Linked DNA regions of Canis lupus familiaris. The protein of the gene in region 2 interacts with the protein of the main gene of each other region in a pairwise test. Links are inferred from orthologs where the notes say so. Each region holds a gene or a part of one and is shown on either strand. Other genes may lie near its edges.

Region 1 (4,548 bases), on a different chromosome or scaffold from region 2:
TATGCTATAGATACATAGAAATTTAGCATTTTTTAAGGATTCTATTCCATAGGTAGACAAACATATACTGATATTTTCAAGGTTGAACTTAAATAAAATTAGTTCATATTTACTCAGTCCAACACTGACAAATCAAAGAATCTTAACTTCCCTGAACTAGGTTTTGAAATTTTGTCTTTAAAAAAAAAGATTTATTTATTTATTCATGAGAGACACAGAGAGAGAGAGACAGGGACAGAGACATAGGCAGAGGGAGAAGCAGGCTCCTCTCAGGGAACCCATGTAGGACTCATTCGATCTCAGATCCCAGGATCACTCCCTGAGCCAAAGGCAGGCGCTAAACCACCATTAGTCCTTGAATAAAAGCTTAAAAGTTACTCTATTACTGTATTCATTTTAAGGACAATAAAAGGAGCAGAATTAAATTATTCTAGAGGATTTAGTCATAACTGAAGCAAAAGCCAGGAATGATCACAGGGAAACATTTCTCAGAGGATAATGTAATGATATTACTAAAAGTGTGGGAATCCCTATACCACCTAGATGATTAGGAAAGGGGTTATTAGCTAAGTCATTGTCTGAAACCCACTGAATCACTGGTCCCTTTGAAAAATGATTGGTCATTCTTTTTTAAAGATGGGTTTTTAAATTTAAGAGAAGCTTCAAGCAGCAGAGCTGAAAGATTAAAAGAACGCAGATCTTGCATGGGTCTAGATTTCTCTACTTAGGCAAAGGATTGAGGTAAGATATCGAAATCTTTGTTTTCATAGTTTTAAGAACCCAAATCAGTCAACTCTGCAGGATAATCCACCAAGGTCACCCTAAATGCTTATATAGATTGATAATATGAATTAGGATAGGCGTTTTTACATCTGGAGGACAAAAGATAATATGTTTCCACAGGTTGCACTATTTATCAATATTACAGTTTCATTTTATAATCTCTTTACCTGAGTTAGAAAAATATTGACTCAGTTGCTCAGTTTAAATATATTTTATGTTATTAGACTTTTAAATGAACTTTTATCTGTTATTGGACTGCTATTGTCAGATCTTTATTGTAGTATTTTTACTACTACATTAAATACACATTAAAACTGTTTTCATAATAAAGACCTATTTCACTGACTGTAGTCATGGGCCTCCCATGATCAGAAGAACCCATTTCCTTAGCTATAGAACAGCACAAGGGATGAGGCCATCTTGTTCATTAACTTATTTAACTATATCACATACCACCAAATGAATCATTTGGTCAAGCTAAAAGGACAAACAAATAATTCTGGTTTTTATAAACAGCTGCTCTGAGAAAAAGAATAGGTTCTGTTACAGATATTTATAAATCTGCCTTTTTAATTTTAAATCCTAATATATAAGTATTTACTATAGAATTCACTCAACTACTCTTCTGACTGAACAATACCAACGAATTATTGTTACCATGATTTTTACATAGAGGGTCTATTTAAAGCTCAATTTCACAACTTATTTTCTAGATATTTCATCTGAAAATGAAAACCATAATTCTTCTTGGGCTACTAGGAGCCACAATGTCAGCCCCAGTAAGTGATTTCATGGTACAACTAAAATCATCGTGTGAAACCTTTAACAAATCCTCTTTGACCATCTCATTTTTTTAATTATTTTTTAGCTTATCCCACAGCGCCTTATGTCTGCAAGCAACAGCAATGAGGTTAGTTTCAATACCTACAACAATCTCTCCATTTTGTTTTTGTTTTTTAAGGGAACCCAGTGCAGAAGAGACAAAAACACTTATTCGCTAGCTCTCTCTCTCTCAAATAAATAAATCTTAAAACCTGGGAAGGGGGGCCTGAGTGGTTCAGTTCGTTAAGCAAGGCAAGCATCCAACTCTTGATTTCAGCTCAGGTCACAATCTCAGGGTCATGAGATAAAGCCTCACCTCAGACTCCACTCTCAGTGGGGCGTCTGCTTGAGATTCTCTCTTCCCTTCTCTCTCTCCCTCCCCTCATGCCAGCACTCTCTCTCTCTCCCTCTAAAATAAATAAATAAATCTTTAAAAAAAAAAAAAAAAAAAAACCTTTGTTAATTTATCCTGCATTCCTATCCACTAGCTCTTACATCCAAATGCATTTCCAGTGCTCATGTTTATTTGGTATACCAGGTTATTTCTGGAATACTATTTTGCTCCCCATGTGACTGTAAACTCTTTAAAGGCCGAGACAGTGTCTCGTATATCTTTTTATTCTAAGAGCACCCAATATAGGTGTATAGAGGTGTTTAACAGCTTAAAAATTACTGACTAAACCACTGGAATGGGCTGAAGTTGTGCAATCTCAGACCCAACAGGGGAGAGGTAGTTAAATTCCAATCTCTAATCACTGTAATTTATACAAGCCTAGTGAGAAAATACCCCTAGCAGGAAACTGATGGATCAGCCCTGGCTTGTTCTATATTTGTAGTAAACTTTGTTCTTAATAGTTTTAGCATGTGTAACCATCTTGTTTTCATATCATCTTTCCTTTTCCAGTTACTTCTGAATCTTAATAATGCTCAACTTCAGCCACTACCATTTCAGGTACCTTGATAATTATTTTAAGAATATCTGTCAACTGCTTACTTCTTACAGTACTTTGTAGAGAACAAAATGTTTCCTGATTTCATTTCTGAAATTTCCATTTTTAAGGTTATAGATTTATCCCATATATTCTAATGACCATTTGTTTGAAAACAAAAGTAAACGCTGTAATCTGATTAACATTTATTTATTGAAAACTTGCTAAGTGCCAGGCACAAATTCTCACAACTGTGAGACAGTTAAATGAACTATTTATACAAAGTCATACTCAGCTGTTAAAAAATATATATATTTAAAACCAGTCTGGCAACTGCAGAAAGCACACTCGTTATCCACTTGATTCTGCCCCATATTTTTTATGACCACTGGGAATTTAGCATTGTTCGTGCTATTTGCACAGCTCATATGCGCTAAGATGCTGTCCTTTTTTATAAGGCAGCAATGGGATTACAGAAATTATTTCATTTTGGATTTTTCTTCCTCAGGACTGATTTTAAATTCTTTTTGAAATGAAAGATAAATGCTTCCTTTCTGTTATGTCCTTCCAGGGCCCATTTAACTCATGGATTCCTCCTTTCTCTGGGATTCTACAACAGCAGCAGCAAGCTCAAATTCCAGGGCTCTCGCAATTCTCTTTATCAGCTCTTGATCGGTTTGCTGGACTGTTCCCAAACCAAACACCTTTCCCAGGACGGGTTAGTTTTGCCCAAGGAACCCAGGTGGGACAGCAGGACCCCTCACAGCCTCAAACACCACCACAGACCCAGCAGAGCCCTAATCATGTAAGTTGGGCCTCTCCCATCCTGTTGTTCTGGGGAGAATTAACACATGTTGGATGTGAAAATGAGTAGGAATCAGTTTTGAAATAAGACAACAGTTAATGAGAAAATTTATTCTCATAATTTGTTCTACCATCACTGAAAGTACTTTATCTTTTCTGATTTCTACATGAAAAGTACCATTTAAATCAGCTATTCTATTGTAGCCACAAATCAAAAGTGTTAAAAATATGTCTTAGAAAAGATAATTAGGGAAATTTAATCTTTAAAGAAGAAACAATTTACATTAATGATATACATATAATAGATAACCTTCGTTGTCATAAAAGTCTTTAATAAAAATTATAAATGTGTATGGCTAGGTGTAAGAAAAAGCTCTGGAATTTTATGTTAAAAGGTCAAATATAACTGGGGTGTCTGGGTGTCTCAGCCAGTTAGGCATCCAACTCTTGATTTCAGCTTAGGTTGATCTTAGGGTCGTGAGGTCCATGTGTGGAACTCTGTGCTGAGGGTGTAGCCAGCTAAGATACTCTCTCCCTGGGGATCCCTGGGTGGCTCAGCGGTTTGGCACCTGCCTTCAGCCCAGGGCATCATTCTGGAGTCCCGGGATCCAGTCCCATATCAGGGTCCCTGCATGGAGCCTGATTCTCCCTTTGCCTGTGTCTCTGCCTCTCTCTCTCTCTCTCTCTCTCTCTCTCTCCCTCTCCCTCTCCCTCTCTCTCTGTCTCTCATGAATAAATAAATAAAATCTTAAAAAAAAAAAAAAAAAAGGATATTCTCTCCCTCTCCATGTGCTTGGGCACTCTCATTCTCTCTCTCAAAAAACAAAGTCAAGTATAATTTTTTATGCCTTTTTTGGCAGGTTATGCCCTATGTGTTCTCCTTCAAAATGCCTCAAGAACAAGCACAGGTAAATGAATAGAATACTATCACTCCTACAGAAAAGATGGCTATATATACTATCTAATGCTTTCTTTTATATTTGAGAATATGTATACTATCCAATGCTTTCTTTTATATTTTATCTCTGACTCCTATAGCACAGCTATGAAAACTATTATCATAATTATATCATAATCATAATTATCACTGTCTAAAACTGCTATTGCGAGGCTGGCATCACTTTGTTAATGTTAGGCTCACTTAATAACTCCTGAAGAAAGGACAGCTAAGGAGAGTCCCCAGAACCCCTGAGTTTCTGAAGCATGACTG
Region 2 (4,448 bases):
CTAGGAGCTTGGTTCTAATCCTGTGTTAGCTGAAGAGTGCTATTTGTACGCAGAGTGCAGGTCGGTGTACAGGATATGAACTTATCCAGAGTGTCTGTGGTGTAACAGTTCCATGAGCAGCGGCGAGGAGAAATGTGTGACGATGCTCCTTGTGCGGACAGTGACAGGCCCAGAGGGCCCCCTGCCCAGTGTGCAGCTGACAGCCAGTTTTGGACTCAGTGTGTCCATCTTGTAAGTGTGAGCCAGATAACAGTTTAGAATATTCACGATTTATCTGTAATCAAGATTAACCATTCTTCTCTGGTCTTTGGGCCAGGATAAAGCATGTATGCTGATGTTACAATTCAGACTTTTCCTCTGTGATAATATGGCAAACATAAAAATTTTAGGATTAGCTCTGGATTTTTCCTTTACGTCTGTAAGCCAAGTGTTCACCACACCCTTTCCCGGCCAGTCTCTGAGGTGGTGGGGTTTGTGTTGGCACCTGGACTCTGTAACATCTGACGTGGACTGGCTTTGTCAGCAGCACTGACTTAAGGTGTGGGAACTGGCGCACTTGGACGAGCTCCTTCGAGTTGCAAGTCTCTGGGGTTGTAGCAGCGGACAGACCTGTCTGGCAGCTCCCGGGGCAGCGGGGTGCTGGTTGCATCACCAAGAGGGTGGTATTTCGTCAGAACTGAAATGCTGTTTCCGTCTTCTTTCTTCTTTTTTTTAGTTAAGTTGAAGTTTTTTTCTAATAAACTTTGAACTTTAGAGTTATGGAACAGTTATGAACAGTTCAGAGAGCTCCAGTGTGTTTGTATCTTGTGTGCATCCCCAACAGACGTTTATTATAACTGGAGACCTGGCTTTGCTACGTGACTACTCGCTCCAGGTTTTATCTGGCTGCCCTGTGTTTGCCTCAGTGTCCCTTCTGTCCTGGAGTTCCACCCCGAACCCTACATGGCATGGAGTGGCAGTGGATTCTTAGTGACCTGCACTCTGGGACCATCTCAGACTTCCTCTGTTTTGGGGGACCTTGACCATCTGAGGACTGCCAGTCAGGGATTTTGTAGCTTGTTCCTCAGGTGAGAAGAAGACCCCAGGGCACATTATCCTCCTTGCGCCTTTTCAGGAACCTAGTGTCCCCTAGCCTGTTAGTGCTGGCGCTGGCCAGGGGACTCACCTTCTATCCCTTCTGTGTTTTGTTTGCATGGCATAGTTAACTTCTGTTGTAAAAATCGTTCCATGTTTATAGTTAAGATCTTGTTGAACATTAGATGTTTGAATTTTTTTTTTTTTAAGATTTATTTGAGAGAGCACAAGTGAGTGCAAGGGGAAGTGCAGAGGGAGAGAGAATCCCAAGCAGACTCAGCACTGAGTGAGGGGTCTGATGGCAAGGCTTGATCCCAGGACAAGGGATCAAGGGCACAGCCCATTGCCTGCACTCCTCACTCCTCAGGACTGCAGTACGTGGTATGGGTGGGTAGTTATTTTTCAGAATAAATGAGAATTTGGTCTGTGTGCACTAATCTTCTGCATTTGGTTAACATGAGTCTGTGTCTGCCAGATTACATTCACAGGAACAGGCAAGCTTGCCGCGGCCCCAGTGGAGGTTGGGAGGACTGTGACCAGTTGGCATGGCAGCGTCTGGCCCCGTGTCCGCTGGGAAGAGCTCTGGCTGGGAGTGCGGTTCCCATTTGCCCATAGCAGCTGGTGATGGGTGTGGGTCTGGTAGCCCCCAGGCCAGCCACAGCATCTCAGCCCTCTGGGAGGGTGTGCAGCCTGAGAGGCCCCCAGGGAGGCAGCACGCTCCTCACCTGGCAACCCTGCACCACCTGGGTGCCCCTGCTTTCCCCTCAGGCTGTAATGAGTTCTCAGGGCTCCTGTGGGCCCACCGGGGCTGCCCCACTCCAGACGTGGAGAAGGTGCAAGATGCTCTCCTCGCCAGGCGCGGAGGTCACTCCCATACATCCCAACCCGAGAGGAAGAAGTGTGCTCTTGCTTTGCAGAGGGAAGCAGCTGGAGCACCAAGCTGATGGGTGCCAAGGAAGGGAGTGGCTGGGGACAGACAGCCCCTGGGCCTGGAGACCCGAGTGGGTCTCCACCTGTTTCGGTGCCTGGCTTGGGCGATCTCCAGCCTGAGATGGGGACACGAAGACAGGAACCTAGACCTTTCTAGGGATGTTTGAAATGAAACAGCACAAGATGCTTATGGAGAAATGCTTTCCCAGTGGTGCTTGTGAGCTCAGCGGGTATGGAACCTTTTGGAATCCTCCCAGATCTGTGTCATCTGGAGGTCCAGAACCACAGCTATAGAGGCCTTAGGATATTTGGCACCTGGATATCTGAAGCAGTCTCTGTTGGCCACTGTCAGTAAATGCACTTTGTCACAACTCACTATGACTCGTGGGGGTTTTCTTTTCCCTCTGGCATGTCCTGAAAATAACATTCCTTCAAGGCTCTCGGCCAGAGTCTGTGGTGATGTACTCTGGAGCAGTGGAGGAGACCCGGGAGCCCTGTGGGCAGCACTGGGCCTGCGCCATAGCTCTGCTGCTCCCTCCTGTGGGACTGCGTCAGTCCTTACACTGTGGCCCTCCACACCCCAAACCTACCCTGCCTGGGAAAGAGCGGAGGGCAGGCTGTCCGGGCATCAGACACTGCGGGTCCGCGCTCTGCTGGCCTGGGGACACAGCTGCCCTCTCTGCTCATCTGTGTGGGGGAAGCCTTGTCCAGGGCCACTGCCACGTGTGGCAGTCCACTCCCCTTAGCCACTGCCTTTTCCTGGAAGACTGGCTTCTTGGAACCCTGGGGGCCTCTGTGCAGTCCACCCTCCAGTGCGTCTCCACCCCTTCTTTGAGAAGCCAGGCAGCCTTGTGGACAAGGGATTCAGCAAGAGGCAGGAGGAGGAGGTCTTTGGGGCTTCTTGTTGCTCGTCTTTCCTTTTTGTCTTCTGGGCTGTTATTTTTGAGTTTGAGCTGTTTCAGATGGAGGTTTTCGAGTGTGTCAGCATGGTGGGGCGGGGGGAGCTTCCATGTACCTGGAGACCCAACTTTCTGATTTCATCTCACTGCTGGTTTGAATGAGTGCCTTGCAGCTCACAGGCCTGGTTTGTCCTGGTGGCAGCAGGAAAAGCAGATGGTGGACATGTAGGCAGAGGGCGTGTGACACCTGAGTGCAGCCCAAGAGACTGTCAAGGAGCCGTTCTGAGCTTGAGAACCTGCTGTCAGTGGGCAGAGCAGAAGCCCGCTTTGCTTTTTTGCATCTATTGAGTGAGAGGGCTCCTTGCTGGATGGCAGCGTTGTGTTTCATGGTGCTTGGGCTGGAGACCTTGGCCCCGTGGGCCTCTCCCACCGTAGATGCAGTGACTGAGCCCCCCACTAATGCACCTGTGTTCTCCCCGAAGGTGTACGTTGGTGAGCTCCCGCAGGACTTCCTCCGCATCACACCCACGGCAGCGCAGCAGCAGGTGCAGCTGGACGCACAGGCAGCCCAGCAGCTGCAGTATGGAGGGGCAGTGGGCACAGTGGGCCGCCTCAGCATCACCGTGGTGCAGGTGGGTGTTGGGCCTCCCCGGGGAAGGGGTGGCCCTGAGTGCTGCTTGCTCTCCGGGCTGTGGCTGCTGGGCCACATTGTCTGTGTGAATAAATGGGTTTTCTCTCTCTCTCTCTTTTTTTCTTTTTTTTTGAAACATACGCGTAAAAGATACTGATGAATACCCAGGCTTCTACCAGAAATAGCAAAAATAATCAGTGAGGAATGTTTATGGGTACGTGCTCTGTGCCAGCCTGTGTAGGGATGCCCTGCCTGACCCTCCTGACTGTGGGGGAGGTGGGGGCACAAGGGGAGGGCCTGGCTGCTGAACAGACCGCTAGGAAAGCCAGAGGCACTGTTAGGATCTAAAGTGGTTTTGGTCACCACAACTTTCCGTAAAACCACGAAGGGGAGTCACTGAAGGCAGACAGAGTTGCAGTCAGGCCTCACGAATACTGTGGGTTTTAAGGTGACTGCATCCCAGACACCTGGCCACACTCTCGGGGGTGATAGGGTCACCTCAGATACTCACATGTTCTGAAACTGCCCTCTCATGTGCCCACAGGAGTGGCCACTCTTTACCCTCCACGTGGTCCTCCCAGGCCCTTGTGGCACCAGTCCCAGGGACCCAAAACAGCCCTCTTTTGCCTGCTGGGCCTCTTGGTGTGGCCCTGGCTTCCCACTTCCTTTGATAAGCCTTTCTCCCCCAGTCCGTTGGGGCCCCAACATGCTACTTGGCCTGCCTCCCCTGGCATGTACCTCCCTGGTAGTTCCTGCTGATGGAGCACCCTGCGGTCAGGCCCCTGGCCCCCCTCCCTGCCCCCCACCCAGGCCAGCCTCCACTCTGCTCACATGGGAGTGCCCACACCATGGCCCATAAGGCTTCTTTCTGGATGTCCAGTAGTGTGTCGTCTGCTCCCTGTCTGCGGGATGCG

Evidence for each region.
Region 1: the proteins of TOLLIP (region 2) and ODAM interact in a two-hybrid assay, tested with the Homo sapiens proteins (2 studies listed by BioGRID and IntAct). The two-hybrid records come from large-scale screens. The link is inferred for Canis lupus familiaris from reciprocal best matches to the Homo sapiens genes TOLLIP and ODAM.

Annotation. Positions count from the first base shown.
Region 1 is NC_049234.1:60,647,284-60,651,831, forward strand, and holds the start of ODAM (odontogenic ameloblast-associated protein precursor), read left to right. Parts: upstream 1-1,492; 5' UTR 1,493-1,511; coding exon 1,512-1,562; intron 1,563-1,651; coding exon 1,652-1,693; intron 1,694-2,509; coding exon 2,510-2,557; intron 2,558-3,105; coding exon 3,106-3,339; intron 3,340-4,198; coding exon 4,199-4,246; intron 4,247-4,548. UniProt on the Homo sapiens protein: Tooth-associated epithelia protein that probably plays a role in odontogenesis, the complex process that results in the initiation and generation of the tooth. May be incorporated in the enamel matrix at the end of mineralization process.
Region 2 is NC_049239.1:46,015,969-46,020,416, reverse strand, and holds part of TOLLIP (toll-interacting protein), read left to right. Parts: intron 1-3,385; coding exon 3,386-3,535; intron 3,536-4,448. UniProt on the Homo sapiens protein: Component of the signaling pathway of IL-1 and Toll-like receptors. Inhibits cell activation by microbial products. Recruits IRAK1 to the IL-1 receptor complex. Inhibits IRAK1 phosphorylation and kinase activity.